4 linked regions of the Alligator mississippiensis genome follow. The protein of the gene in region 4 binds, or shares a complex with, the protein of the main gene of each other region. Links are inferred from orthologs where the notes say so. Each region holds a gene or a part of one and is shown on either strand. Other genes may lie near its edges. The genes, in order: B9 domain-containing protein 1, B9D2, TMEM107 and MKS1.

What was found.
Region 1: MKS1 (region 4) and B9 domain-containing protein 1 share a complex: the UniProt entries of both Homo sapiens proteins name them as parts of the tectonic-like complex. The link is inferred for Alligator mississippiensis from reciprocal best matches to the Homo sapiens genes MKS1 and B9D1.
Region 2: MKS1 (region 4) and B9D2 share a complex: the UniProt entries of both Homo sapiens proteins name them as parts of the tectonic-like complex. The link is inferred for Alligator mississippiensis from reciprocal best matches to the Homo sapiens genes MKS1 and B9D2.
Region 3: MKS1 (region 4) and TMEM107 share a complex: the UniProt entries of both Homo sapiens proteins name them as parts of the tectonic-like complex. The link is inferred for Alligator mississippiensis from reciprocal best matches to the Homo sapiens genes MKS1 and TMEM107.

What each region holds. Positions count from the first base shown.
Region 1 is NC_081836.1:55,341,163-55,348,371, reverse strand, and holds the start of B9 domain-containing protein 1, read left to right. Parts: upstream 1-4,205; 5' UTR 4,206-4,249; coding exon 4,250-4,315; intron 4,316-7,209. UniProt on the Homo sapiens protein: Component of the tectonic-like complex, a complex localized at the transition zone of primary cilia and acting as a barrier that prevents diffusion of transmembrane proteins between the cilia and plasma membranes.
Region 2 is NC_081838.1:1,541,097-1,549,001, reverse strand, and holds B9D2 (B9 domain-containing protein 2), read left to right. Parts: upstream 1-4,899; 5' UTR 4,900-5,319; intron 5,320-5,753; 5' UTR 5,754-5,756; coding exon 5,757-5,844; intron 5,845-6,272; coding exon 6,273-6,398; intron 6,399-6,481; coding exon 6,482-6,795; 3' UTR 6,796-7,405; downstream 7,406-7,905. Other genes in the region: BCKDHA (2-oxoisovalerate dehydrogenase subunit alpha, mitochondrial), read right to left, coding at 110-271, 369-477, 567-653, 731-910, 1,474-1,539; EXOSC5 (exosome complex component RRP46), read left to right, coding at 2,010-2,106, 2,183-2,296, 2,499-2,620, 2,775-2,915, 3,123-3,212, 3,370-3,462. UniProt on the Homo sapiens protein: Component of the tectonic-like complex, a complex localized at the transition zone of primary cilia and acting as a barrier that prevents diffusion of transmembrane proteins between the cilia and plasma membranes.
Region 3 is NC_081838.1:25,049,591-25,057,252, reverse strand, and holds the start of TMEM107 (transmembrane protein 107), read right to left. Parts: upstream 3,017-7,662; 5' UTR 1,976-3,016; coding exon 1,889-1,975; intron 1,286-1,888; coding exon 1,218-1,285; intron 945-1,217; coding exon 844-944; intron 757-843; coding exon 660-756; intron 125-659; coding exon 19-124; coding exon of another isoform or gene 1-18. UniProt on the Homo sapiens protein: Plays a role in cilia formation and embryonic patterning. Requires for normal Sonic hedgehog (Shh) signaling in the neural tube and acts in combination with GLI2 and GLI3 to pattern ventral and intermediate neuronal cell types.
Region 4 is NC_081837.1:29,523,844-29,530,695, forward strand, and holds the start of MKS1 (tectonic-like complex member MKS1), read right to left. Parts: upstream 3,004-6,852; 5' UTR 2,991-3,003; coding exon of another isoform or gene 2,974-2,990; coding exon 2,894-2,973; intron 2,798-2,893; coding exon 2,681-2,797; intron 727-2,680; coding exon of another isoform or gene 723-726; coding exon 662-722; intron 628-661; exon of another isoform or gene 1-627. UniProt on the Homo sapiens protein: Component of the tectonic-like complex, a complex localized at the transition zone of primary cilia and acting as a barrier that prevents diffusion of transmembrane proteins between the cilia and plasma membranes.

The sequences.
Region 1 (7,209 bases), on a different chromosome or scaffold from region 4:
ACACCTGCACTCGTCGCACACTGTGCTCAGCACTGTGATGTCTGATAAGAGGAGACCTTGTAGGAGGCTGCCCTAATTTGCACCCCTGGTTAGCAACCGTTTGGGAATCGAGAGCTTGGAGGTGACAGGTTGCCCCAAGTTTCATCTGGCTAAGGTGGCTTGCAAAGCCTGCCTGCGTGCGGACACGAGCCGTCTCACGTATCTCATGTTTGCCTGGCTGCATGGCTGAAACGTGCTGGCCGGTGCATGTTGTGTCCTCGAGCCGTGAAGGATGCGGGGCTGTTATGGGGTCCGACTTGGCACTGGAGTTCAGACTGGAAAGGCCTGAGGTCTTGTTCACGCTGGGAAAAGATAACTGGAGTAGCTGTACCAACCAGACACCCCAGGGAGAAGCTACTTAGGCACACCAGTTCTTTTACTGGTGTATAATATACCAGTTCCCTGACTAGACTATGGGCAAAGGCCCGATCCTGCAAGTATAAATGTCCCTACACTGGGGCTCTTGCCAGCACCATGATGCAAATGTAGATGTACGTGACTTATTTTTCCCCCCACAGTATCGTCCATCATCGCTGGGAAAACTTTTCCAAGTAGACTGGGAACCTCAGCAGTCAGTGCCTCCAGCTTCTCAGCCAAGATGGTACTTCTCACCGGTGGGGAGCAATATCTCTTCCCCTCGTCATTCAGCAATAGTCTCAGCAGATCCCAGCAACGAGCCCATCTCAGCACTTCACCCTTCTGCAGGATGAGAGGTTCTGCTAAAGGAGCTGTGGTTGTGTTCATCCATTTCTTAAGCTGTCCTCCCCCATGAAATGCACTGTAAATCGTCTCCTTGGACCAATGTGCAAATCCCCCTCCTAACTATATGGCTCCCTAAAGCGCTCAAATATGGACAGTGAGATTCTCCAAAGTTTCTACGCCCCTAAATCCCACTGAGTTCAGCGAGAGCTAAGCACCTAAATATCTCCAAAAACCTGAGCTAACGCTGTTCAGTTATGGTGAGCGTGCAGGGTTAAGAGTTACTCTGCCCTCTTTGTCTTGTAAAATATTGTGGTGCCTTTAAACTTTTCTTTCAACAGCAATGTAAGCCATATTTCCTTTTAATGATAGGAGCAGCCCCACAACTGGTAATCCGCTGGTGGCATCTAGTGGCAGTCAGCAGCGTTACCTATTTATGCGGCAGCAAAGTTTAGATTTTCTTTCAGGTGCCGCAAGTCCAAAAGAAACAGGCTTATTCTCTGAACGTTACATTTTCAAATCAAAATATTTGTTTTGGAACCAAGTGAACATCGAGGCTATTTTTCTCTGGCAGAAACAAAAGATTTTGCAATCATCTCTTGGACGCCTGCTAGAACTGGCTGGGTTTTGTACAAGGAACGTTTTGTTTCTCATGCGGTCAGGCCGCTGCCTTGCGGATCTGATTGTAGCCGCCCACTGGATATCGGAGAGCAAAATGGGATTTGCTTGACCTGATTCTTATCAGAGGTTTACACCATGTGTCGAATAAATAAGTCTAAGGGCAAGCCCAGTGTCCAGATGCGTTGGATGGGGCCTGCGGCACTTGAATATACGATCAGGTTTGTATGTATATGGTGGCTTAGGTGAAATATAAGCAGATTCAGTAGACAGTGGTCTAGACACTCAGGGTAAGTAAGGCATGAGATCAAGTTAGGCCTCCAGTTTTTAAACTTTAACCCAGGACAGCTGGCAGAAGTTATGGTGCACCATGCCACTGCGTGCCGAAAGCAGGAACGGGTCGATTTTGAAGGTGTGGGGGGATGAGGCTGCCCACTCCTTTCAAGACAGTGCCTTCTCTCTGCCTGGCCCCAACCTACGCACTTGCCCTTTCTCCTCCTCTCCCAGCAAATCTACTTCTCCCACGATGCCCACTTTGTTCCAGGCCTGTGTGACGCGCCTAAAGCTTCATTCTTGGATGCCACTGTGTGGAGACAACCTTTAAACTTCCTTTCAACCCGAGTCTGACTTTTTGAACAGGCCAAGCGAACTGAACAGAGACACTGGGCGTGTCTATACGTGCATGTACTGTGCAGCAAGTTACTGCGCAGTAAGCGGTTTTTAGGCCAGCATCTACACGTGCAGGCGTTACAGCGTAGGAAGGCTGTGTGGACTGACTTGGGACTAAAGTTAGTCCAGAGTCAGTCCACACACAATGTTACTATGCTGTAACGCCTGCACACGTACACGCCTGCACGTGTAGACTAACTAAAGCTAGTCCCAAGTCAGTCCACGCACAACGTTACTATGCTGTAACACCTGCACGTGTAGACTAACTAAAGTTAGTCCCAAGTCAGTCCACACAGTGTTACTGCACAGTAAGGCAACTACACGTGCCTTACTGCGCAATAACTAATTGGGCATAAATTTCCTACCTCAATCATGCAAGTAGCAAATTTACACCCAAGTCAGCCTAAGTCGCCATAGTAACTGCACAGTACGGGCGTGCACGTGTAGACACGTGCCCGTACTGCACAGTAATTTTCGGTTACTGCACCGTAACCTAAATTATTGTGCGGTAACTGTGCATGTGTAGACGCACCTACTGAATGCATCCAGGTAGATTAGTGCTGGCTCCTAGAGTTAGCTGTGCTGGTTCGCCTTCTCCACTGGCTGCCCACCATCTCGAGGGACTCATCTGGTTTTCCAGAACAAGGAAATACTTCAAAATAAACCCCTAGCAAAAGGCTGAGACAGAGTCCAGAAACAGAGATACAGGGAGGTTTCCAGGGACTCAAAAGAGCCCAAAAGCCAGCTCATCAGATCCCCTTGAAAAACCAGTTTGTTTCCAGCGTGGGCTTCAAAAACACAACACGCAGCCACCTCTACGTTCTCTTAATAGTGTATCTATTTTTTAATAACTTGCTTCACAGAGAAGCCGGGCTGGAAGGGATCTCCAGACGTCACCAAGGGATCCTGAGGCAGGATCATCCCTATCTGACCCATCCTATATGAATCCATCATCTAAATTGGACAGAAGAGCTTCTGCCATCCTAGCCGGCGACCAGCGGGGTATTTTCACCCCATTTCCAGCTTCCGAAGGAGCTCTGTGAAAAGCAGATGGGAGGCAAGGCGTTTTGAAACGGCAGGCGGTCTTCCCTGGTGAAGAAGAATAGGGGTTTTGACTGCAGGGGTGCCAACTTCCTTTGAATCTATTCCAGGAGGTTTCATCCCGTGACGGGACAACATTCATTACGGTGCGCAGACTTCACGTCCGGAAGGCCGGTGCACGGGACGCTGACATTTTACAAACCCCACCGGACTACTGTACAAATCAGATTCAACATTGCATATTTATCCGAATGAATGCCCTCTCATTTATCCTCCCAGCGACTCTCAGTCATCTCCTAGGGGTTTATATCTAATTCCTGGAGATGCCAGGGCAGTCCTGGAGGGTTGGCAATGACAACCTCGTCTTGAGGAAGGTGGAAGAGGCTTTCCCTAGGATCTGGGGGCAGAGGAAAGCCGTACGCCTGCTCCCCAAGCTTGTCACACTCCGACAATGCCAGCCCTGGGTTTCATTTGGGGTTGCTTCTTGTTTTGTTTTGGGCGGTTTTTTGACTCTAGGAAAACCTGCCTCGGGTTTCACTGTTTCTAGTAAAAAACCAAAACAAAAAAAAACCAAACAAAACAAAAATCCCAAAAGGGACCAGCCTTGGGTTTTACTTTTTCTAGTAAAAAACAAAAAAAAAAACCCCAAAAAACAAAAACCGGAAAGGGACCAGCCCAGGTTTCACACTGTCTAGTAAAAAGCAACAACAACAAAACAAACACACAAAAGGGACCAGCTTCACATTCACTTTTTCTAGTTTAAAAAAAAAAACTCCTAAAAAACAAAACAAAACAAAAAAAACCACAAAAGGGACCAGCCTCAGGTTTCACTTTAAAAAACCCAAAAAATACCCCAAAAGGGACCAGCTCAGGTTTCACTTTTTCTAGTAAAAACAAAAAACAAAGATACAAAAAAAGGGACCAGCTCAGGTTTCACTTTTTCTATAGAAAAGCAAAGCAAAGCGAAGCGAAGCGAAGCGAAGCGAAGCCAGGCGGGGTTTGATTGCGAAGCGCTCCGGACAGCCCGCAGCAGGGCAGAGCGCTCCAGCCCCGGCGCTGGCCCCGCCCCTTTGGCGCAGCGCCGCCCGCGAGGAAGTGTGTCCCCTGCGCCTCGCCGTCCGGTATCTAAGGAGCGGCGCGACAGCGGCCCTTAGCAACGAGCCGGGGCGGGCCGCCCGCCGCTATGGCCGCTGCCGCCAGCCCCAGCGTCTTCCTACTCATGGTGACGGGGCAGATCGAGAGCGCCCAGGTAAGTGCGGCTGCACTCATGCGCCATTACACCCCCCCCCCCCCCCACGTTGGAGTCTGGGGTGACCGCCCCCTTCCTCGGGGCGCCCCCTGTAGGCTGATGTCCCCGACTCCCCGCAGAGCGCATGCGCCATTGCACCCTGTGCCGGGCAGGACGCCGAGCCTCTGCAGAGCACATGCGCTGTTGCGCCCTCTGCTGGGTTAGTGCTCACGGGTCCGGTTCCCTGGAGAACGCATGCGTCATTGCATCCTCTGCGGGGCACGAGTGGGGGGGAGGAGCTTGCGCAGAGCGCATGCGCTATTGCGCCCCCTGCTGGGCTGGAATGCAGAGAGCATGCACCAAGTTGGGCAGCAGGGTGGAGGGGGCGCCCTGGGCAGGGGGCAAGGGTGGGAGGGGCATCACCCCATTATTGGTGGCGTGTTTTACCCACCAGGTGGGATTTGCCCCGGGATAAATTCTTTTCTCCCAGGATCATGCAAAGGGATGAGCCCCCTTGACGTCTGTGGGAAGCATCTGGACGGCAAGTCCGATCCAGGACTTTGTCCCCAGACATATCCCACCCCTGCACTCACCCCGGCTGCACGGTGACCCAAAGAAGGGGGTTTGCACCCGAAAGTTTGCAAAGAAAAATTGTTCCATGTCTTCCATTTGGTCTAATAAAAGATACCGGATTTACCCAATGAGCCTTGTCTGTAACATGACCCAAAGAGTAATGGCAATGAGCTCGAACTAGCCCCGATCATCCGGGGGGAAAGGGCTCCTCTGGGCTACTGATTAGACAACCGATTAGATTCAGATTTCAGCATTTCTCAGGCAACCCCAGCGGGACTGGCCGTTCGTCCACATCAAGTACGCAGGAAGCGTCCAAATTAATGCTTGGCCTTGGGACGCTCGCAGCTAATTCAAGTTCATTGCCATTTAACCCTGGTGTTCAGACAGCTGAGCTACATCTTTTAACGTGAGTCAAATCTCAGGCGAATCAGTTTTAATGCGAGTCAAATCTATCAGCCGTGGATTAAACCTGTCATCTGTTTATTACCCTCAAAGACTTGACAGGTGCTTAATATGGGACGAGGAGCTTGTAAATCTGTAGGATGCCAGGATTTATTTTATATATATATATATATATATATATATATATATATATATATATATAAAAAAAATTATATATATATATAAAATAAATCCTGGCATCCTACAGATATATTTAAAATTTGTATCCAAGGCCAAATTAGCCAAAACTAATTCCAAATCCAAGAGTGCAGAACCATAAGTGGTCCTACTACTGGCAAACATCCTCCACCTGCACCTGGGGCTTCAGATGTTTCCAAATCCTTTGGTGGGCATCCCAATGGCAGACCCAAGCCCGGAGGCTGGGGGTTCGGATGCCCCCGAGTTTTGCTTGCCCTTAGCCATAAGGCCCTTGGAGCAAGCAAGGGAGAATGCCAGGATAAAAGGCTTTGTCCCAGGATAAATTGGTCAGCTGTTCACAAACTTGAAATCATGCATTTCCCTGAGATGATCGTAGAATCATAGAAAGTTAGGGTTGGGAGGGAGCTCAGGACGGCACAGCTAGTGCAACCCCCTGCTCAAAGTAGGACCAGCCCCAACTACAGCATCCCAGCCAAAGCAATGTCTAGCCAGGTTTTGAAAATCCCCAAGGATGGAGACTCCACCACCTCTCTGGGTCACCTGTTCAGTGCTTTACTACCCTCCTAGGGAGAAAAATCTTCCAAATATCTAACCTGAACTCCCCTTGCTGCAACTAGAGCCTGTTGCTCCTTGTCCTGTCATCTGCCCCCACTGAGACCAGCCCAGCTCCATCCTCTTTGCAGCCCCCCTGCAGGGAGGTGAAGGCTGCTGTTCAATCCCCCTCAGTCTTCTCTTCTGCAGACTCAATCAGCCCATTTCCTTCAGCCTCTTCTCACCAGTCCTGTCCCCAAGCTCCTGAACCATTTTTGTTGCCCTTCGCTAGACTCCAACTTGTCCACATCCCTTCTGTAGTGGGGGCCCCAAAACTGGACACCGGACTCCAGATGTGGCCTCCCCAGTGCTGACTAGAGGGGAAGAATCACTGCCCTCCATCCTGCTGGCAATGCTCCTACCAACGCAGCCCAGGATGCCGGTAGCCTTCTTGGCACCAAGGGCACATTGCTGGCTCATATCCAGCTTATTGTCCGCTGTCACCCCCAGGTCCTTTTCTGCAGAGCAGCTGCCCAGCCAGTCACCCCCAGCCTGCACCAGTGCATGGGATTGTTCAGTCCTAAATGCAGGACTTTGCACTTGTCCTTGTTCAACTTCATGAGATTTCTTTTGCTCTAGTCCTCCGATTTGTCGAGGTCTCTCTGAATCCTAGTCCTACCCTCCAGCATATCTACTACTCCCCCCAGTTTGGTGTCATCCACAAACTTGCCAAAGGTGTGCTCTATGTCACCTTCCAGGTCAATGAAGACATTGAACAAAACCAGCCCTGGGAACAACCCCTGGGGCACTGCACTTGATACCGGCTGCCAACTAGACATCGAGCCATTAAGCCTGATGCTCCAGCGAGTTTTCTATCCACCTTGCAGTCCATTCATCCAGCCCATGACTTCCTTAGCTTGCCTGCGGGAATGTTGTGGGAAACCGTATCAAAAGCCTTGCTAAAATCAAGGTACACCACATCCACCGGTCTCCCCACATCCACAGAGTCAGTCACCTTGTCAAACAAGGCAATCAGGTTGGTCAGACATGACTTACCCCTGGTGAATCCATGCTGACTGTTCCTGATCACCTTCTTCTCCTCCAAGTGCTTAGAAATGGATTCCTTGAGGACCTGCTCCTTGATTTTTCCAGGGACTGAGATGAGGCTGACTGGTCTGTAGTTCCCTGGATCCTGCTTTTTTCCTTTTCCT
Region 2 (7,905 bases), on a different chromosome or scaffold from region 4:
CTGCAGGGTGGGAGCGAGGGGCAATGGCGCGGTTGGGGGCTGTGGGTCAGGAGCGAGCGGCACCAGCGGGGCAGGGGGGGTCAGGAGGTCGGGAGCGCAGGGGTCTCACCTTGGGGGATCTGGGTGGCGAGAGGGGATGAGATGGTGACGAAGTGCAGGTCACGGGAGCCGTAGTGCACGGGCATCTGCCGGCCCTTGCCGGGGTCGCCGGCGTGGCCGTAGCACTGCGCCATGAAGAGGTCCAGCGGGTACCCCCGGTACATCAGCACCCCTGGGGCACGGCGCCACGTCAGGAGGCACCGTCGTCGACCCCCGCCTCGAGGGGCTGGGGGCAGCCCCCCTGGGGGGGGGTCACAACAGGGCTTTACCTGCCTCGCGGTACTGCCCGAAGACCAGGTCGGTGGGGTCGAGCGCGGCGGCGCTGCCCACGTGGGTGCCCTCCTCCCCGTAGTTAGTCATGTAGAAGGAAATGCGGCCCTGGCAGGGGGGAAACCGAGGCAGGTGGCGCCGGGAGCCCAGCCCGCCCCCCCCCCCCCAAGGGACCCGGGCATCCAGGCGCGCCTCACCTGGCGCTGGGACTCGTACAGGATGCGGTCCATGGTGTTGAGCAGCGTCATGGTCTTGTAGAGCTTCAGCACCGTCTCGGCGGGCAGCTGCGGGCACGGGGGGCGGGGTCAGCGCGGGTGGGCGGCGCCCCGGATCCGTGACCCCGGGGGTCGCGCCCCCTCACCTGGGGGTCCTGGCTGGGGTTGAGGATCTGGCCCTGGCGGTCCATGACGCGGTAGACGGGGATGCCAGCCAGCACGTTGGGCTGGATGAAGTCCAGCGTGTCCACGAAGGCGGCCGAGGCGCCGGGGAACTGGGGGCGCTCCGCCGGCGACGGGAACTCCTCCTGCTGCCTCGCGGCATGCTGGGAAGGGGCGCCGTTACCCATCAGGCCCCGCGGTGCCCCCCCCAGATGATGTCACGGGCCCCCCGAGCTGTGCGGGGAAGGGGTGGGCTCTGCCCTCCATCTACACCCGGGGGGGCTGGTGTTTGGGGCGGTCCCTGTGCCCCCCCCCCCCCCCCCCCGGCACCTCCTGGACCAGGGTGCCCTTGGGTGCGGCAATGTCAAGGCCGCGGGGAGGGGCCAGCTGGGGGAGGGGGGGCACGCCCCCGGTGCGGACCAATCAGTGGCCGAGGCTGGGGGGCGTGCTTGCCACCTGCCCCAGGATGGGGGGGCTGATACCCCTCTGAGCTGCCAGGGGGGCTAAAGCCAGCTCTGCCCCCCCCAAAACAGGGTGGGGGTAACTGCTGGGGGGGCAAAGCTCATCCCGCCCCCCCAGGAGAACCCCTGCCCCACCCCACTGTGGGAGGATTGCCTCCCCACACACGTGACACCCCCCTCGCGTGCCCCCCACCTAGGGGGGATGTGCCCCACCAGGCCCCGCCCCCGCCGAGGCCCCGCCCCGCAGGCCCCGCCCCCGCGCTCACCCCCGTGCGCAGTCCCCGCAGCTGCAGGAGGCGCAGGCCCCTCCGCATGCCACAGGCCGCCGCCATCTTGGTGCGGGCGCGGGGGCCGATGGGAGAAGGGGGAATGGGGGTGTCACCATAGCAACGGCGTGTCTCTGCCCTTTTAGGGAAGCCCCGCCCCCACGGTGGCCCCGCCCCATGCCTACGCGGTGTGCTGATTGGCTAACGAGGAACAACGCCACACCCTGTCAGGGAGAGGGGGCGTGGCTTCGCGCACCCCGCCGCGCTGATTGGCTGGGCCGCGCCCGGCCCCTCTGTCAGGGAGAGGGGCGGGGCCTGCACCCATTGGGCGCCGTGATTGGCAGGGGCGCGTGCTTCTCCGGCCTATCCGGGGTAGGGGCGCCCAAGAGGCGCATCCATTGGCTGCCGTGCGTTCCAGCCCCCCACCCGCCTCGAGGGGCGGGGACTGCGCGTAAGAGACGCTGCGATTGGGCAGGAGCCGCGTTGGGAAGGAGGGGAAGGCTGCCCCGGAAGCGGAAGCTGCGCGTGCGGGCGGCATGGGCTCGGAGCCGGAGCCGGGCTGCGCCCTGCGGCCCTTTGCCGTGGAGCAGGGGCTACTGTCGCGGCCCGACGGCTCCGCCGCCTTCGTGCAGGGTGCGGGGGCGGGGCTTCGAGCGTGGGGGCGGGGCTAAGGGCTTTCCCCGCCCCCGTTGACCCCGGTGCCCCGCAGGCGACACGTCGGTGCTGGCGGGCGTCTACGGCCCGGCCGAGGTGCGGAGCAGCCGCGAGAGCCCCGAGCGCGCCGCGCTGGACGTGCTGCTGCGGCCCAAAGTGGGGCTCCCCGGTGAGGTGACCCCTGACCCCGGGGTCATTCCCCGCCCTCCACCTCCGTGCCGTGGGGGGGAGGGCACGGGCTTCTCCCCATCACGTGACGGGGTGGGGGCGCCTACAGAGGCCTGGACACTTGGGTTTTGCACTGGGGGGTGATGCCCTCCCTGGAGGGTCACGGGGGGCGGGGCTTCCTGCTGACCCTTGACCCCCCGCAGGCGTGTTGGAGCGGAGCCGGGAGCAGATGGTGCGGCGCGCGTGCGAGGCGGCGCTGCTGGGCGAGCTGCACCCCCGCTCCTCCGTCACCCTCGTGCTGCAGGTCGTCAGCGACGCCGGCTCCGTATCCTGCCCTGGGGGGGGCAGAGATGCACCCCCCCTCGTCATCGTTCAACCTCGCCGGGCCCCCTGGGAAGGACGGGGGGTGGGGTGGGGGTGAGGCTGCTCTAACCGCTAGGCCCCGGGGACCGGGTCGTTGGCCTTGACCCCGGGCCCAGCTGCTGTCGTGCTGCCTGAACGCCGCCTGCCTGGCGCTGCTGGACGCGGGGCTGCCCCTGCGCTCGCTCTTCTGCGGGGTCACCTGCGCCCTCGCGCCCGACGGCGCCGTCGCTCTGGACCCCAGCGCCCGCCAGGAGAAGGTGGGGGGGGGTGTAAGGGATGGGGGAGCAGATGGGAGCCGGACGCCTGGATTCTCTGGGAGGGGGGCGATGCCTCGTGCGTGGAGTAAGGGGGGGGCCTAAAATCTAGGACGGGATCGCTCCTTGGTGTGAGGCTGCAGGAGGAAGGGGGGCTGCTGGGGGGCAGAGGGGAGCCTGCACGCCTGGGGTCACACTCTTGCCCCGCAGGAGGCCCGGGCGGTGCTGACCTTCGCCTTCGAGAGCACGGAGAAGAGGTTGCTGCTCTCCACCACGCGCGGGGCCTGCTCTGCCAAGGAGGTGAGCGCCCCCGTCGTCCCCGTTAGGCTGGGGGTGCTCGGCAATCCCAGCATGCCTTGGGTGGGGTCCTGTCTCCTGGGGGGGAGGGGCCTGGCTGCCTGCCTGCCTGCCTGTACTGGGGTCCTAGTGCAGCCCTGACCTCTATTCCTCCTCCCAGTTACACCAGTGCCTGGCTCTGGCTCAGCGCGCCACCGACACCATCTTCCAGTTCTACCGTGACTCGGCCAGAAGGAAGTTCTCCAAGAGCTGAGGCCCCTGCGGGGAGCCGGACCCCCGCAGACCCGGGGGGGGGGGGGGCAAGGACATGCCTCAGGGCAGCAATGGGCAGCTGAACTGAAGGTGGGGGGGGGCTGTGGGTCGGGAGTGAGGGGCAGCAGTGGGGGCGGAGGGGTGGGAGTGAGGGGTGCTTCCGCCCAGGGGCTACCCAGTGTTCTGGTGGGATGGGGGGGCCTGCTCTGGCATTGGGGTCCCCAAATAAAGAGCACACGGTCTGTGCTGTTGCCCCCCAGCACCCAAGCATCTGTCTTGTCCTTAATGACACATGTTTTTTGTGGTTGGTTACCTGTGTGTGTGTGTGTGTGTGTGTGTACACACGTATACTGGTGGCTTCCCCATCCCCGGGGGGGGGTGGTTCTCTCCACCTTTCCCTACCCCCACCCCCAGTCTTCCCCTTGGTTCTGGTCACGGGCAGGGGGCGGTGGGTTGGGGGTGAGGGGCACTGGCTGGACTGGGGGGCAGGGGCTGCCAGGGGGTGGTGGGACCTGTGCTCTCCACGGCTGCTGTGGCGCTTGGGGCGGGGGACCCGTTAGCTGCATTTAATGAGCTCTGGGGGTGTGGGCAGCATCCTATCAAGCCTCTGCCTAACAAGCCTGGCGCTGTGGCTGGGCTCTTCGTTTACCGACAGCCCCAGATCTGGCCCGGACCCCTCTCGAAGGCAGGGGTGGAGGCCCATAGGGCTGCCAGGCCGCAGAGCGAGGGTGCTACGTGCAGACCTATCTACCTCTGGGCCTGTGCTGCTGGGGCGCAAGGGAGGGGGAAGTAGGGCCCATCCGTGGCCCTCAGGGCATTGGCAGGGCACCTCGGGCTGCCAGCAAGGCTGTTGCTGGAAAACGTGTCCCCAGGGCCATGGCCTGCCCCAGGTGTACAGTGAGGGGCCGTGGCACCCCACAAAACAGCCACCCTGGGGCTGTGGCACCCCCGGGTGGCTGCCATGGGGCTGGGGCAGTTCCACGCTGGCCGCCCTGGAGCCATGATGCCCCTCTTAAGGCAGCTGAGACCTGTGGCTCCCTCACGGGGGTTTCCATGGCGCTGTGGTACCCTAAAGGTGACGGTGGTACTCTGGGGTGGCTGCGGTGGAGCTGTGGCACCCCCATGAGGGTGGTCATGCACGGCGGCATCCTAGAGTAGCTGCCCCTGGGCCCTGCCACACTCAATATGGCGGCGGAGCCCCTCCCCCGGGCCTGTGACCCACCCAAGATGGTGGCGCTCTCCTATTGCGGCCAATGCTGCTTTGCCACACCCAAGGTGGCGCTGCGCCCGGCCATCGTGCTCCCTTCCCACGATGGCGGCGCTCTCCGTGCGGCAGTTCGACCTCCTCAAGATGGCGGGCAGCGCTCTCTTCCCTTCCTCCCGCTCTCTTGGGCGGGGCTGCGAGTGATACGTCAGCGCGCTCGGTACTCCGACCAATCAGAAGCCGGCATTCCGCAGGGGCCTGCCCGGTTGCCGTGGCAGCGGCATCCGGAAGTGGTCCGGAGTGCAGGGGCGAGTGGAGTCCTGCGGGTGCAGGCGCACGTGTGTGCATAGGGTGAGGGTGCAAGAGGGGTGTGCAAGGGGCTTTGCGCGGTTAGTGTGCAAGGGCGTGTGCACAGGTTGAATATGTAAGGGACGTGCACGGGACAAGCGTGTAAAGGAGTGCGCATAGGGGGAGCGTGCCAGCGGGTACAACGGGCTGGGCCGGGTGTGTGTGCAAGGGTGTGTGTGTTGCCAGAGTATGTAAAGGAGTTGGCACGGTGAGTGTGCAAGGATGTGTGTCGGGTGAGTGTGCAATGGACTTTGCATAACTGCAAGAGGGGAGTCATCACGTAAAGCGTGCAAGGGGCTTTGCACGGTGAGTGGGTGAGGGGTTAGGCACAAGTGAAGCGTGCAAAGGGGCTGGCATGGGGTAAGTGTGCAAGGGGGCACGCGCAGGGTGGGTGAGCGAGCGAGTGCGCGTGGCGACATGCATGGGGGTTGTTACACTGAGTGTGCACAGAGTGAGTGTGCAAGGTAGGGGGTATGTGCGGGGGTGCAGACACAGGTGTGACAGATGTGTCCACATGTGCAAGCTGGCAGGGCCCCGGGGGGCACGGGGGGGGGGGCACAGGTCAAGGTACAGGGCAGTGGCTGGGGGGTGGGGGCAGGGGGTCGGTGTGCGGGGCGGGGCAGGGGGCCGCAGGGCAGTGGGTGGGGGCAGGGGTCAGGGTGCGGGGCAGTGGCTGGGCGTGGGGGGGGGGGCACCGGCAGCTCGTCCCCGGGGTGCTGAGCCGGGCGCGGGGTCCGCAGGCCATGGCCGAGCTGCACGTCATCGGTCAGATCGTGGGCGCCAGCGGCTTCCCCGGCACCAGCCTCTTCTGCAAGTGGGGCATCCACGCAGGTCGGTGCCCGCCCCCCCTCCCCCCCCCCCCCCAGTCTCGTGGCTCGGCTCAGCCTAATGAGGGGTGAGATGCCGGGAAGGGGGAGAGGGGGGCTTCCCGGATGCCTGGGCTCCTCGGGATGGGAGGGGTCCGCGGGCAAGGAGCAGGCGGAGGGGGGGGCCCAGACACCTGGGAGCGGAGGGGGCCGAGGGGTTGCAGGCCTGGGCTTTGCTCTCCCCCCCCCCAGCTAGCAGTGGGGTGTAGTGGTTAGAGCAGGGGGCTCAGACACCTGGGTTCTCTCCTGGACTTTAGGGCCTAGTGGTTGTTGGGGGGGGGGGTGAGGGGTTCCCTCCCCAGGCCCAGCAGAGGAGCAGGGCCTGGTGGTGGGAGCGTGGGGGCAGGTGGGGGGCGGGTGCCTGGGTCCCATCCGGCCGTGCCCCCCTGGCAGGCGGCGCCTGGAAGCTGCTGTCAGGGCTGCCGGAGGGGCAGACGCAGGTGGACCAGCCCCAGCTGGACGACGTGGCCTACTGGTGCCACCCCATTGACGTGCACTTCGCCACCAAGGGGCTGCAGGGTGAGAACCTGCCCCCCCCCGGGGGCATTTTGGGATGGGGGCGCAGGAGCCTGCCTAATCCCCTCTTGCCCCTGCCCCCTCAGGCTGGCCGCAGCTGCACCTGCAGGTGTGGCACCAGGACGGGTTTGGGCGCACGGAGCTGTACGGCTACGGCTGCCTGCACGTGCCAGCGGCGCCCGGCTGCCACACGATCGCCTGCCCCACGTGGCGCCCGCGGGGGTCGTGGCCCGAGCGCCTGGCACAGCGCTTCGTGGGGGGGGGCCCCCAGCTGCGCCAGCCCCAGGCTGCCGCCGCCGCGCCCGAGCGCCACCGCCTGCGCACCACCGCCGCCGGCACCGTGCACCTGCGCCTCGGCGTCCTGCCGCGCCACTTCGCCCGCTACGGCGTTGAGTGCTAGCACCACCCCCCCCCACGGGCGCTCCCTGAGGACCCCCAGAGTCCCCCTGACCCCCCAATGCCCCTCCTACCACCTGGGGCCCCCTATAAACCCCCCCTACAGATCCCCCCCACGGGATCTCCCTGTCCCTCTTACCCTCTGCCCCCCACAGCCCCCCCATGCTTGCCATGGCCTCTACCTGCATCCCCGTTCCCCTGTGGCTACACCTCCCCCCCCCCATACCCCTCTTACTCCCTGGCGCTTCCCAGAGACCCCCACGGCCCCCCGCTACTGCCCACAGGTTCCCCCTGCCCGCCCACTATCCCCTGGCCCCCCCACAGAGCCCCCCACAGTCATTCCCTGCCCCCATTCCCCTGGGGCCACACCCTCTGACCCCCTGAGGCTCCCCATGGACCCCCCGCGGGCCCCTCCTGCCCCCCCAGACCCACCCTGGAGGTTGGGAAGGCCGAGGGGCTGTGGCTGGGGGCGGACAGAGGCCCCCCCACCGCGCTGCTGGTCTTGGCGCTGATGTGGGGCCAGACCCCCCTGCACTAGGATTCCCTCCCGGCTCTGAGACCCCCCCATTTGTACAGACCCCCCCTCCTTTTTCTATAAAGGCTCTTTTGTACCACGAGGTCTCGGGGGGAGTTTGTCTCTGCCCAGAGGTTCCCCTGGGGCACCTCCTGCCCCCCAGGGGCAAAAGAAGCCCCCTCCACTAGCTGCCATGACCTCCGCGCTGCCCCACCAGGGGGCGCCCTGCTGCCGGCTCCCATCCCCCCTGTGCCCCCCATTCACCCCTGCCATGGCTGGGCAGAGACCCCCCCTCCCCCCCGCCCAGTCCCATGGCTCGGCTCAGCCTAACGAGGGGTCAGATGCCGGGAAGGGGGGCGGGGGGGGGCTTCCCGGATGCCTGGGAAGGGGAGGGGTCTGCGGGCAAGGAGCAGGGGGCAGACACCTGGGTCCTCTGGGAGAGGGGGGCGGGGCGAGGGGTTGGAGACCTGTCTTTGCCCCGCCCCCCGCTTGCAGTGGGGTGTAGTGGTTAGAGCAGGGGGCTGCCTGCTGGGCCCCGGGCCTAGTGGTTAGAGCGGGGGGGGGGAGGGCAGGAGCCCTGGGTTTCCCTGGGAGCTGCGG
Region 3 (7,662 bases), on a different chromosome or scaffold from region 4:
CACTCTCCCAGTGCGCGCTCAGGAAGAGGGAGAGGCTGATGGCTGCGCCACAATGCGCCCCCAGTGCTGCGCTTGCTTGTCAGGGAAAGCACCCGGGACCCGGACAGCCCTGATCCAGGGGCACCTGCTACCGGGGAGGGGAGGGGCAGAGTCCTTCCACCTCCAGGGGGCCCCAATCCGGGCCTGATCCAGGGGCACTTGCTGGCTGGGGTGGCAGGGGTCTTCCCACCTCCGGGGGCCCCGATCTGGGCTTAATCTGGGAGCACCTGTTAGCTAGGGGGGAGCAGGGGTCTTCCCACATCCAAAGGGGACTGATCCAGGGCCTGACTGGGGGGGCACCTACTGGTTGGGGGGGAAATGGGTCTTCCACATCCAGGGGGCCCCGATCTGGGCCTGATGGCAGGGCACAGATCTCTCCACATCCAGGGGCCCCCGATCCAGGGGTACCCACTGCCTGCAGGGGCGGTGGGCACAGGTCTTCCCACCTCTGGGAGGTGCTGGCCCAATCTGGGGCACCCACTGGCTGGGGGGGGGCAGGGGTCTTCCCACCTCCAGGGGGCCCCAATCCAGGCCTGATCCAGGGGCACTTGCTGGCTGGGGGGCAAGGGACAAGACCTCCCCGCTCCAGGTCTGGGGGAAGGGAGGTTGGGGGCACTGACCTGCCGCAGGCAAAGATCCCCCAGTAAGTGGCGCTGTCCCACTGCTCGAAGAGGACGAAGAGGAGGGCAAGGGCAGCGCCCACGTGGGCCCCGCAGGCTGGGGGGGTGTCAGGGGCCACAACCGGAGCTGCAGGGCAAGACCCCCCAAAAGAGACCCCCCCCCAAAAAAGAGGTAGAAGGATACAGAGCAGGCCCTGCAGAGGGTTGAACATGGAGACCCCTGAGAGGAAGCCAGCCAGCTCCACCGCGAAGAGCCCCAGCGTCACCGACAGGGCCACCACCAGCCTGCAAGGGTGGGGGAGGAAGAGGGTGGGCCCAGGATCGGGCCCCCTGCCCCTTGGGTGCCTGGCAAGCTCCCAGGCCTGGAGAGACCCCAGGTGTCCAGGCTCCCAGTTGCCCCCTGCTCTCACCCCCTGGTCCTCACTCCCGTCCCAGCACCCAGAGCAGGGGGGCTTTCAAGACCCCCCCCCAAAAGCAGAGAGGCCCCATGTGTCCAGGCTCCCAGCCCCGTCCTGCTCTCGCCCCCGGCCCCCCAGGTACGTCCGGGTGGGCACGCACTCGGTGTCGCGGCGGCCGTACTCCTCGGGCGTGTGGTCCAGGGGCAGCGATGCCCGGACGTTGTCCTCCTGCGGCACAGACAGAGGCACGCGGGTTGGGGGGGCCGCGCTGCAGGGACCCCGGGCATCAGGACCCCCCCCCACTTTCACCCGCCAGGCCCGTGTGTGTGCACAGCGTGCGCCTCTTCCCCCGGGTGCAGCCATATGGGCGTGCGGCATGCCCCCTGCGTGTAGGTGTCTCATGAGTGTGCACAGTGTGTGCACGCTGCCTGTGGTGGCAGGCAGTGTGCAACCCATGTGTGTGCAAGCTGCACGTCCCCTATGTGTGCACGACACAGGTGTGTCCCCTGGGGTGCATGATGCATGTCCATCTCCCCTGTTTGTGTGATGTGTGTGCATGTCTCATGCATGTGCATGATGCATGTGCATGTCCTATGAGCGTGCGTGGTGTGCACGTGTTGCCTGCAATTGCAGGCAGTGTGCGCCTCATGTGTGTGCAAGGTGTGCCCCTATATGTGCGCGATGTGGGGGTGTCCCCTGCGTGTGCATGTCCCACGTATGTGTGATGTGTGTGCATGTCCCACACGTGTGCACGATGCGTGTGCATGTCCCCATACGCGTGCACGATGCGTGTGCAGAATGCAGGCGCGTGGCGTGTGCAAGCCGCCCTACCCGGGCCCAGAAGGCGCCGATGACGATGACGAGATGGGCCACGAGCGCCAGGAACCGCCACGGGACCAGCGCCGCCGCCGCCGCCATCGGGCCGGTGCCCGGCAACGCCCCGCCCCCTTCCCGGCGGCCCCCGCGCCCCTCCCCCTCCCCGGGTAACGCCCGGCGCTCTGCTGGGGGGGCAAGCTGTGCCCTGCGGTGTGACGTCACCCCGCGCTGACGTCATACCCGGAGTGACGTGGCCGCCCCGAGCGGTGAAGGCGTCGGGCTCGAAATGCCCCGGGGGCTCCGCGCGCGGGGTCGGGCTGCCCCCCCATAGTTGCCGGGGAGGGGGGCATTTTTGGCACCAGCTCTCCCCCCGCAAGGGAAAGTCCCCCCCATGGGCAAATGGCAGCACCCCCCCGTGGAAGAAGGGTAATCCCTCGCCATGGGCAAATGCCCCCCCCTTGCGGGCTCTGGCACCTGAGGGGTTAATGCTGCCCCCCCCCCCACGGGGTGCTACGATGGGGGCCCCAAGCGCAGGACCCCGCCCCGCGACGGGGGCGGCTCACCCCCCGCCCCCCGCCTACGACGCGAAGTCTCCGGCTACCGTATTCCCCCGCCTACGACGCGCGCCCGCGAGCTGCGGGCAATTGCGGGCTCGGCCCCGGGGCTGGCGGGGGCGGTGTGCCGACCGCGCACGTGCCAGGACGGCTGCCAGGACACAACGCCATAGACGTCCCGCCCCCGCCCCCCCCCGTCCTGCCGGACCCCTGGGAGCCCCAGCTGGCCCCGGGCCCTGAGGCAGCCGCCGGAGTGCAGCCGCCACGGCGCGGGCACGCGCGGTAAATGTAACGTGATACAACTGGGCAAAAGCGGCCCTGCCTGGCGCGGCCCGGGCTTCCCGAGCCCCTGCTCCGGGTCCGCATCGTCCTCCTCGTCGCCTGCCTCGGCTCCCGTGGGGGGTCCCGCCTGCCGGGGCTGGGGAGGGGCCAGAGGGGAGTTCCGGGCGGGGGGAGCCTGCCCTACTGGAGCCCCCAGTTTTCGCACTGCTTGGTACACACACACACACATACTTGCTATCACACACACACTCCCCAGGCATCTCACACACACACATGCGCACACATACGGAAAGACACACAAGGGGCATGTCACATGCTCTCTGCCCCGTCCCCCTTAGATCCCAGCCCCGCCCCCCGACACTCCGGAGACCCCCCTCCCTGCTCCATCTGTTCACACCGCCCCGGGGTCCCTGGGTGGGAGCTCGTGCCGCCCCCCCAGGAGGCCCCGCTGCCCAGGTCACGTGGGGTGCCTGGCCCTGGAGGGGGGGTCACTGCACCACGTGTGCCCGTGTGTATGTATGGGTGGGTGTGTGGGGTGTCCATATGTATGTGTGCCTGTGGGTATGTGCATGTGTGTGCGTGTTTGTGCGCGTGTGTGTCCCAGATAGTGTATGTGTGCATGTATGTGTTCATTTTGGACACCTGAGCTCTGTGTGTGTGTACATGTGTGTGGGACACCTGGCGGGGGGGGGGTGTCCATGCCCTGGATGCCTGGGTTCTCTGTCTCCCAGACACCTGGATTGTGTGTGTGTGTCCTGGACGTCTAGGTTCTGTTTGTATGTGTGTGTCCCCCACAAATGCCTGGGTTTTGTGCGTGTGTCCCACACACCTGGGTTCTCTGTGCACATAGGTGTGCATGTGTGTGTGTCCTGGATGCCTGTATTTTTTCTGCATGCATCTGCGAGAGTGTGTGTGTGTGTCTGAGCCCCCTGGGTTACCTATGCCTGAGCGCACACGTGTGCATGCTTGTGCGTGAGTGCATTTCCACGCATGTATGGGTCTATGTCCTGGATGCCTCAAGAGTTTGTACACGCGTGTGTGTGTATGTGTGTGTCCTGGACATCTGGGGTTTGTGCCTGAGTGCATGTACTTCCGTCCGCCCCGGACACCTGGGTCCCATGGGTGTCCCTGGGGTCCCCACAGCCTTCCCCTCCCCCACCGCGCCGTCTCGGTGCTGCTGGCACCTGGGGGAGGGGGCGGGCAGCCCAGGCGCCCCCTCCTGAGTCTCAGTTTCCCTTTCTGCAAGGAGTGGGGGACGGAGTCATGGGGCCGCTGACAGCTCCCGTGGGGGGTTCACACCTGCTGGGAAGGGGCCAGAGGGGAGTTCCCGGGGGGAGGGGGTGTGCGCGCATGCGTGGGGGGGGGGAGAAGCCCTGCAGTACTGGAGCCCCCAGTTGTGCACACTTCCCAGTACACACATAGACCCACATATACATGCCATCACTCACTCACACACACAGAAACATACTCAACCTAGGAATCTCGCAAACACCCACAAAACCCAGGCACACAACGCAGGCATCACACCCTCACCCCCACATCACAAACACACACAGATAGAAACACAGACAAGCTATGCATCACACACAGATGCACACACAAACAGAAATATGCACAAGCCAGGCAGCGCACACACACAAAACCTAGGCATCTCTCACGTGCACAAGCACACACCCACCCCGAGCATCTGACATGCATGCACACACACGCACACATACCCTAGGAATCTCTCTTACACACAAACCCCAGACACACAACCCAGGTCTCATACATACACCCCCACACTCACATCACAAACACACACACACATAGAAACACACACGACCCAGGCATCTCACACACACACAATCCAGGTATTACACGCACAAGCACACAGAAACACACACAGCCAGACACACACATACAAAAACACACACAGCCCAGGCATAGGCAGGCAAGGTTCCTTGGGTGAATTTGATATCTTTTATTAGACCAACCCAAATGGTTGGAGAGTAGTTATTAAGCAAGCTTTCGGGTTCAAAAACCCTTCGTCAGGCTAAGGAAGTTTCAGCAGTTGGTGTGTGCTCTTCCTGGATGGAAGAGCCCAGGCATCACACAGACACAAACACACACGCACAAAACTAGGCATCTCTCTCTCTTACCCTCCTCCATGTCACACACATTCAGAAATACACACAACCCATGCATCACACCCCCTCACACACACTTCACACATTCAGAACCCCCCCCCCAAGGCACCTCACTCTTGCACGTGTGCACACCCCCCAGGCACCTCACACATGCACACCCCCCCAGGTGTGAAGCGGATCTCACACTCCCCCCCCCTCCGGACATGCGGGGCCGCCTGTTCACACGGGGGGGGGGGGAGAGGGAGGAGGGGAGCTCGTGCCGGCCATGGGAGTGAGGGACATATTGCACCTCGTGTGCCCATATGTGTGTGTATACACCCACAAGTGTGTGTGTGTGCCCAAGCCTGTGTGCCATGTGTGTGCCCTTCTGTGTGCGTGTGCATGCCCCTGTGTGTGCATGTCTGCATGTGTGTGCCTGCATGCATGTGCACATGCCTACCTGTGTGTGTGTGTCTGCATGCCCCTGTGTGTGCATATATGCGTGTGTATATGCCTGCATGTGCCCTTGCATGCATGTGTGTCTGTGTGTCCACATGTGTGTCTGTGTGCCCTTGTGTTTGCATGCGTGTGTGCCCATGGCATAAACATAACCCCCCCATGTGGGGCCCCATGGGAACGGACATGCAATGCTTGCACACGCGTGTGGTGGGGGGCAGGGCTAGCGGCTGGGAGGAGGGAGTGTGGGAGGGGGAGCCTCCAGTTGTGCACACTGCTCGGTATGCACACATGCACACACGTCACCCAGGTATTGCACACACATACACACAGAAACACACATCCCAGGAATCTCACAAACATGTGCAAAACCCAGGCACACAACCCAGGCATCACACCCCCACCCCCACATCACAAACCCACACATGTAGAAACACACACAACCCAGGAATACACCACACACACACATACAACCCAGGTATCACATGCACACACAGAGAGAAACACAAACAACTCACGTATCACACACATGCATACACATACAGAAACCCACACAGCCCAGGCATCACACAGACACCAACACACATACAGAAATCCTAGGCATATCTCTTTCTCTCTGTCTCTCCCCCACCCAGGAATCTCACACACCCACAAACCCCAGGCACACAATCCAGGCATCTAATCCCCCACACCCACGTCACAAACACACACACATACACACAACCCAGGCATCACACAGACATGAACACTCATTCAGAAACACGCCCCCCGCAACTCACACATGCACCCCACACCCAGGTGTGAAGCGGATCTCACACTCCTCCCCGCCCCCCGCGGCTCTGACACACTCCGGAGATGCGGGGCCGCCTGTTCACACCTGGCGGGAGGGGGGGGGGGGCTCGTGCCAGCCGGGGGGGGAGGAGCAGACCCCAGGACGCCCCGCGCCCAGGTCACGTGGGTTGCCTGGCCCGGGGGGGGGGGGTCGGGGAGCACTGTACCCCGTGTGTGTGTGTGTGTGTGTGTGTCCCTGTGCTCATGGACATGTGCCCGAGTGTGCATGTGTGAGCGTGTGTGCCCTGGTGCGTATGAGCGTGTCGGATTGTATGTGTTTGTGTGTGCCCCTGTGGGTCTGTGTGTGTGTGCACACCCGTGTGTGTGTGCGTGTCTGTGTGCCCGCATGTGTGTGTGTGTATGGGTGCCCGCGGGCGTGTGTGTGCCTCTGTGTCTGCGTGCCAGGTGTACATAGTGTGTGTGTGCCCCTGTGCTGTGTGTATGTGTGTGCCCGGGTGTGTGCATATACATGGGTATGTGTGTGTGCCCGCGCGTGTGTGCGCCTTTGGTCACATGTGTGCGCGTGCCCGTGTGTGTGCATGTCTGTGTGTGTACTCGTGTGTCCGTGGCACGAACGCGCCCCCCCCGTGTGGGGCCCCGTGGGCGCGGACGTGCGGCGTTTGCACACGCGTGTGGCCCGGGCACGTGCCCCAGCCTCGGTCCCAGCCCGGCCGGAGGTGTCCCCACCCTCCCCACCCCCCGCGGGCGCACGTGCGGCTTTGAAGCGGATCAAAGCGCCGCCGCCGCGGGTTCCCACGGGAACAGCCGGCGACCCCCCGCTTCCATCGCTGGAGGGGACCCAGGCGTCCGGGGCCCCCATCGCAACCTGGGCGTCTCACACACACACACACACACACACACACACACACACACACACACACCCAGATATTCGGGGCACATACACGTGCACACATACACACACACAGATATTCGGGACACGGGCGCACCCCCCCCCCCACACACACACACACACACGGTGTCCGGGTTCCCAGCCCGGTCCTGCCCGCCCCCACCCCACCCACCTCTTTCGGGGGAGGAGGGAGATGGGGCCGGGGGCGGGGGTGCGGGACAGCGTGTCCCGGACGCCTGGGTTCCGCGTGTGCGTGTGTCATTTCTCACGCCTGGGTTGTGGTGCCCCAGAGCCCCGGGGGGAGAGGGGGGGCGTGCTCCGGACTCCTGGGCCCCGCGCCCCGCACGTGCGGTGCCCCCGCCCCGCCCCGGCGGGGGGGGCGGGGGCCGGTACTTAGGGCGGGGGCCGCCCGGACCGCCCCGCACAGCCAGCATGAGCCGCCCGCAGCCCGCGCCCAAGAGCGAGCGCAAGGTAAGCCCGGCCCGGCCCCGCCGCCCCCGGCCGCCAGGACCCCCGACCCGACCGGCCCGCGACCCCCCGGGACCCCGACCCGACCCTCCAGGACCTCCGACCCACTGGCCCGCGACCCCCCGGGACTCCCGACCCGACCCGACCCGACCCGACCCGACCCGACTCTCCCGGGACCCCCGGCCCCCGCCCGCCGCCTCCTCCCCTCTCCCTCCTTGCAGCTCCTGAAGCCGCTGCTGG
Region 4 (6,852 bases):
GTTCCATTCCTTCTGATGGAATTACTTGGCTGAATAAAGCTGCTCAAATACATGCATGCAGGACTGAGCTAAGGTTGATTTAGTGCTTTAGTGGCTGTAATCAAATGAAGTACACAGATTCTTTGTAGTATTAAATTGGATAGCTCCATCAAAAAAATGGTGAAAATTTAGGTCACAGCCATGTTTCAACTGGAGACAAAAAGCCCCTATCTATAGGAGAACCATATTTGTGAAAAAAAGGCTGATGCATTACCATTTGGTCAACATCTAAGGAAGTTTCATAGAAACTAACTATGCAAAAATTAAGATGGCCAATTCTTGTGAGATTAAGAAGGAAACATTAAGGCTGTGCTTTACACACAGATTCAGACCTCCGCCCTGAAAATATTTCACAGAAATCAAGCTGTACTTTTGTTGTTTACACACACACACTGGGAGAAAATATTATTGAAAAGCCTCCGAGAAGTACATCAGAAACCAGTTCTGCTTGTTCCTGTTCTCTAATTTGGTACTGACCACACAAGAGATCAGAGAGTAGCCACCCCTTCTAAACTGCAGCAGCACAACTGGGAGTCACAGGAACCTCTATTCCTCTTCGCCATTTGAAGAAGATGCCAGAGGCTCCTGCTGGCAAGGTCCTCCCACTCTTCCACTGGCTCACCTGACTGAAGAGTTTCTCCTGCCATCCAATCACTGCCTCTTCTTCCTCATCATCAAGACAGCTACCTAGAAGATAAGAGGTGTCAGACCACTGTTTCATATCTCACTTGACCCTCTGACCCTGCTTCAGAACTGTGAGCAAAGAGAGCCCTTTGAACATTTCTTCTCCATTCTGTTTGGTTTTACGGGCAGCATCTGGAACTCACAAGGTAGCCACACTGCCACATTTTGAATTCCCAAAGCACTTATACCTAGAGAGCAAGAAGCTTACGTTCAGATCCAAGCAAGGCTTCCGGTGCTTCTCTCTATGGTGGCATGGGAAGAGTACTCGCAGCTGAAGCCCCGTCAACCACCAAAGCCTCATGTCCACAGGCTGAATTCAATGGCTCTGCAGGCCCGATTCAGCCTGCAAGTCATAGGTTGCCAACCCCTGATCTAGACAAATTACCAGGCTGGACACTTTTCTGTATATTTTCCAGCTCTAATACCACATTAAAGAAACTACAAATGCATCAAGTCCTTATCATATCATTTTTACATGTAAGCGGTTGTAGCTGCCACTGGCATGTTAGGTGATAGTAAACAGAGTGGACTAAATGCAAGGGAAAGTGTCCAATGGAGGATTAAGACATGGTCCATACTATAGAGGTACTTGGGAACCCTTGACAAATATTCCAAGGAATTTGCTTTTCCCTGTGGACATCATTTGCTTTCTGTGGGTCTCTGAGTTTAGAAATAAAACTAGACGATAGGGAGGAATTGCTTTTCGTTTGCAGGAAAGAAAAAGAGCCCCATGAGTTGAACAGTCCTATGTCTAACAGTAAGTACACGACACCCTCGTTAACACAACTGCTTTTCCTCGTGAAGACAGCCCCAAAGAGACAGCCCCTTAGGCTGGTTGCACTTGCATCACCCTGGCTTGAAAGACTTCAGTTTGAATCTCAAACCCACCTATTGCTCCAGAGGAACCCAAGAGAGGCAAGACCTGCCTTAGTTGGGAGGAAACATTTGATGGCCTGGGGAGGGCGAAACCTTTTCAGGTTGCAAGCCAGACCGACCCAGTTCAGGTCAGAGGTGGGCTTGTGCACCGTGGGCAGGCGTGAGGATCCAGCTGCTGTCACTAGTGCTTTCTGCAGCAGCTAGGCCGGGAAAGCACCCACCACTGCTGCTTTTCTCTGTGGTCTATAGCTGGTGCTCATCCCCATGACAGCACGGGAAAACTTACCTGGCAGCGGAAACGCCATGTATCTGGGTCCAAGAAGGCAGTTTTCCTTAAGCCCTCCCAGGGATAACTGTTCTTCTGGCGCGGTTTAGTACCCACCGAGGTGTTGGGGCTTAATGCCTATTTTATGGAAATGGGAGGCTCCTCCCCAGCTTGCTCCTGTCACCACATGGTTGCAGGCAAGCGAAACTTGGGGGCATCCAAACCCCAAGCCTCCAGGCTGATGCCCGCCAAAAGACATGGGAAGGATCTAAAGCCCCGGCAGGTGGAGGATGTTCGCTGGTTGTAGAGCCACATATGGTTCGGGCCCGACTCATGGATTTGGACGTGATTTGGCTCAGAACACAATTAAAAAAAAAAAAAAGACAGCAGGGGAAAACAGCTGCTGAAGGGCCCACGGCTGCGGGGGAACGTGCTGCGAGCAGAGGGGGAAACAGCAGCGCCAGGTGTTTTCCTTGCGCAGTCACTGGGAAAAGCAGCAGGAGCAGCTGAGTCCTAACATCCCCCCCATACCGGGTCAATCTGGCTGTAGAAACCTGGCTCCTAACATCTGCCCAGCACGGACCCAGTGTGGGGGGGAGAAGTGGGTGCTGCAGCACCACATCCATGGCCAGGACCCGGGTGTCACCGCACTGCTGGACTGCCAGGGGCAAAAGCAGAGGCTAGGACAAGCCGGCAGAGGCCCCGCTCAGCCCGGAGAGGCCCCGGGGGTTGCAGGGCGCCAGGCCCTGAGGCTCCCGGGGAGACGTGGCTGGGGCGGCCGGCTCTGAGGAGGTCTCTGCGGGGGGACGACGCCACCTACTTGCCGCGGTGCTGGGGGTGGCCGGGCCCAGGAGCTGCTTCCCCGGCGGGCCGGCGGAGCGCGGCAGCTGCTGCAGGAGGAGGCCGGTGGACGTGACGCGCTGGAGCCGCACCCTGGCGGGGGCACGAGGGCACGGAGCGGTGAGCCCGCGGCCGGCGGGACGGGGACGGGGACGGGGTCGGGGACGGGGAAGGGGGGCGGGCCCTCACCGGAGGCGCAGGTTGCGCACGGGGTCGCGGGAGCGGTAGACGGCGCCGCCCGTGTCCGTGCTCCAGGCCGGCTCCGCCATGGCCCCGCCGCAACCATGGAGACGGCGGGCGCCGCCCCGTCTGCGGCCCAGCGCCCGCCCCGCCCCGCCCCGCCCCGGGCTCCAGCCTGAGCGCCGCGGGGGAAGGGGCCTCCGCCCCCACAGCGCCGCGGGAGGCGCGCACGGATGTCGCCTGGCTGCACCGGGGTGCCATCCGCACACCCACCAAGGCAAGCGGCAGATTAAAAGCCCAGTCGTGCAGGCGAGCCAACTGCAGCTGGCTACTAGCATCAAGGACGGTAAGTCCTTTTTCAGATCTGCGGGGAGCCGGAGGAACAGCAAGGGCAACACTGGACCCCTGCTGAACCAGATGGGACAACTGACAACCGACGCACGGGAAAAAGCCAGAGACTAGCTGACAGCAGCATCCTGAGGGATCCCCAGCACGGGTTTGCTGCCGGTAGGTCGTGCTTGACCAATCTCATTCCCTTTTACAACCAGGTGACCTATCACCTGGACAAGGGGAAGAGATTGATGTTGTATATCTTGACTTTAAAAAAGCCTTCGATCTGGTATCCCATGATCACCTCTTGGCAAAACTGGCCAACTGTGGCCTTGACCTCACCACGATCCGCTGGCTGGGGAGTTGGCTCCGCGGCAGGACCCAGAGGGTGGTGGTTGACGGAAGTCAATCGTCGTGGTGTGCGGTGATCAGTGAGGTCCCTCAAGGCTCTGTCCTAGGGCCTGTACTTTTTAACATCTTCATCAATGATGTGGACACTGGAGTCAGAAGCAGACTGACCAAGTTCACCGATGGCACCAAACTCTGGGGTAAAGCATCCATACCTGAGGACAGGAGAGTGATCCAGGCAGATCTTGACAGGCTCATGAAACGGGCGGATGAGAACCTGATGGTGTTCAACACCGAAAAATGCAAGGTTCTCCACCTTGGGAGGAAAAACCTGCAGCATCCTTATAGGCTCGGCAGTGCTATGCTGGTTAGCACTACAGATGAAAGGGACTTGGGGATCATGATTGACCACAAGATGAACATGAGCCTTCAATGTGATGCTGCAGCTAGTAAAGCGAGCAAAACGCTGGCTTGCATCCATAGATGCTTCTCAAGCAAATCCCAGGACGTCATTCTCTCGTTGTACTCAGCCTTGGTGAGGCCGCAGCTGGAGTACTGCGTCCAGTTTTGGGCTCCACAATTCAAAAAGGATGTGGAGAAGCTTGAGAGGGTGCAGAGGAGAGCCCCGCGCATGATCAGAGGTTAGGAAAACAGACCTTACGATGAGAGGCTGAGAGCTATGGGACTCTTCAGCCTGGAAAAGCACAGGCTCAGGGGTGATCTGGTGGCCACCTATAAGCTTATCAGGGGTCCTCACCAGGATCTGGGTGAACGTCTGTTCACCAGAGCACCCCAAGGGATGACAAGATCGAATGGTCACAAACTCCTCCATGACCGTTTCAGGCTGAACATAAGGAAGAACTTCTTTACTGTCTGAGCCCCGAAGGTTTGGAATAGACTGCCGCCGGAGGTGGTTCAAGCACCCACTTTGAATGCCTTCAAGACACATTTGGATGTTTATCTTGCTGGGATCCTATGATCCCTGCTGACTTCCTGCCCCTGGGGCAGGGGGCTGGACTCCATGATGCTTCAGGGTCTCTTCCAGCCCTAATGTCTATGACTTGCAGCTGCTGAATGCAGTGCATGACTCCTCGCACTCTTGGCTGGTATCAAATCTTGGCTGGTCAAATCAACATGCAGCATTGATTTGAGTGCATCTTAGTTTCTTCATGGCCAGCCCAATAACAGTTTGCATGTGTATTGTTTTCACAGCCTGTCTGCTTCATAAATGGAGCCCTTAACCCAGCAACCACTAGCGTCCGGACTGGGCTTAATACCTGTAGGTGTAGAAAACAGTTTGCTTTTCTTCTGCATTGGTTCATTATTAGATGAATATATTGATAGTCCTGGGTATGACTGAAAACTGCACCCGATCGGGGTTTGGGGTCACTGCGGTGGGACTGCTCGTGCTGGAGCAGCCCCTAGAAAGTGCTGCCAGGGCCAAGGCCCGAGGAAGGGCAAGTCTGGGGAACTCTAAAACTAGGGCTGCACCGATAAACATTTTTTGGCTGATACTGATAGCTCATTATTAGCCAGCCATATCGGCCGATACCGATCCAATTGCCAATACGCAGCCTGGCAGCTTGGAGAGCAGCGTCCGGCTGGTAAGATTGTGGGGGGGAAGGGACTGAGAGAGAGAAGGAGCGTGGGGGGCAGATCGAGGCCCCCACGGTGAGGGAGGGAGTGGGACTGGGGCAGGAGCAAGGGTAGGCACTGCCCAGCCAAGGCAGGGCGTGGGATGGAGCCAGCAGCACATCCAGGGGGCGCCGAGGGTGGGGAGGGGGAGCAGCTCCTGGCACTGTGTGCACACCGAGAGAGGTATGGGGGGCATGTGTCTCTCCGGATTTGTGCGTGGGGGTGAAGGCAGGCTGCTCACTGTAGGTTTGGGGCTAGGGGCTGCACAAGCGTCTTTATAGCAGGGGCTGGGCAGGTGGCAACAGTAGCACTAGGAGGCGGGTAGCAATGGGGTGGGCTACAGCCACCCCAAAATTCACCATAGCCTCCTCAGTAGCTCTCCCTCCCAGAGCCACAGTCACCCACCCCACCCTCCCCTGCCCCAGGCACAGCCCTGGCTCAGTACCCATTCTGGAAAGAGCCCAGTGCAGCCCCTGGCCCACTTTTGCCCCATGCAAATTGTGGCGGCACATGCCTCCCCCCAGGGGTGCACACAACAGCGGGAGCTCCCCACCCCAGACAAGTTGCCTGTGGCTTCACCCTGTGCCCCACCCCACCCCAGCTGGGCAGCACCTGCCCCAGTCCCACTCCCTCCCTCACTGGTGGCCTCAATTGTCCCCCCGCACACGCACACCCCTACCCACCCCATGCTCCTTCCCCCCCACATACTTACCGGCTGGGTGCTGCTCTCCAAGCTGCCAGGCTGCATTCCTGGCTGCATGCATGCTGTGGCTGTGCACATACACACAGCATTTATTGGTAATATCAGCTGCATCAGCCAAAAAGAGCTGATTGCGGATAATGTCAATTTTCCTTTTATCAGTGCCAATACGGTATGGACCAATGTATCAGTGCACGTCTACCTAAAACCCCAGCCCCCACTGCCTTGTGGGTTACCCCCTGGTGGGTAAAGATTAGAGGAACTGACCCCGAAATAAAAGTAAAGGCAGGGCCAGATTATTAACTAGAGTAGACAGCTATACCTGGCTCCCTCTGGAAAGTCTTTTCTGGTGGATCAGGTGGTCAAGCAGATATGCTCATCTCCCTGTCTGTGAAGGCAGATCTGTCAAGAGCTGTATGGAAAGTGTAGGGCATCAGTTCAGGTGCAATAGGAGCTGATGGCCATCTACTGCATCCAGACTTGTCTCCAGATGTCTTGACTCACCTAATGTCATGCCACTGGATTCAGACAGGCCTGGACAAAAGAGTGTGGGTGACTCTGCACAACTTTCCCTCACTTAAATCCAACTTGCACACAATTCATAACATCATCGTCATCTCCCATAGACACACTCAAGTCCTGTGGCGATGGGCGAGCAGCAAAACAGCAGGTGTGGATACACTGGGAGCTGTAGTTGCAGACCTGTACACAGGCAGTTCAGGGCACATGATCACTTCTCACTGGACCAAAGCAGCAGTGGAATTCAGCAGCCCCCTGGGCGACTGGGCAGCCCTATTTAGGTTCACACTGCTCACCTCTGTAGTATGAAGAAGGGGCTAGAAAAGATGCCCTAAACATTTCATAGACATTAGGGCTGGAAGGGACCTCACAAGATCATCAGGTCCAGCCCCCTGCCCAAGGGGCAGGAAGTCTACTGGGGTCAAATGATCCCAGC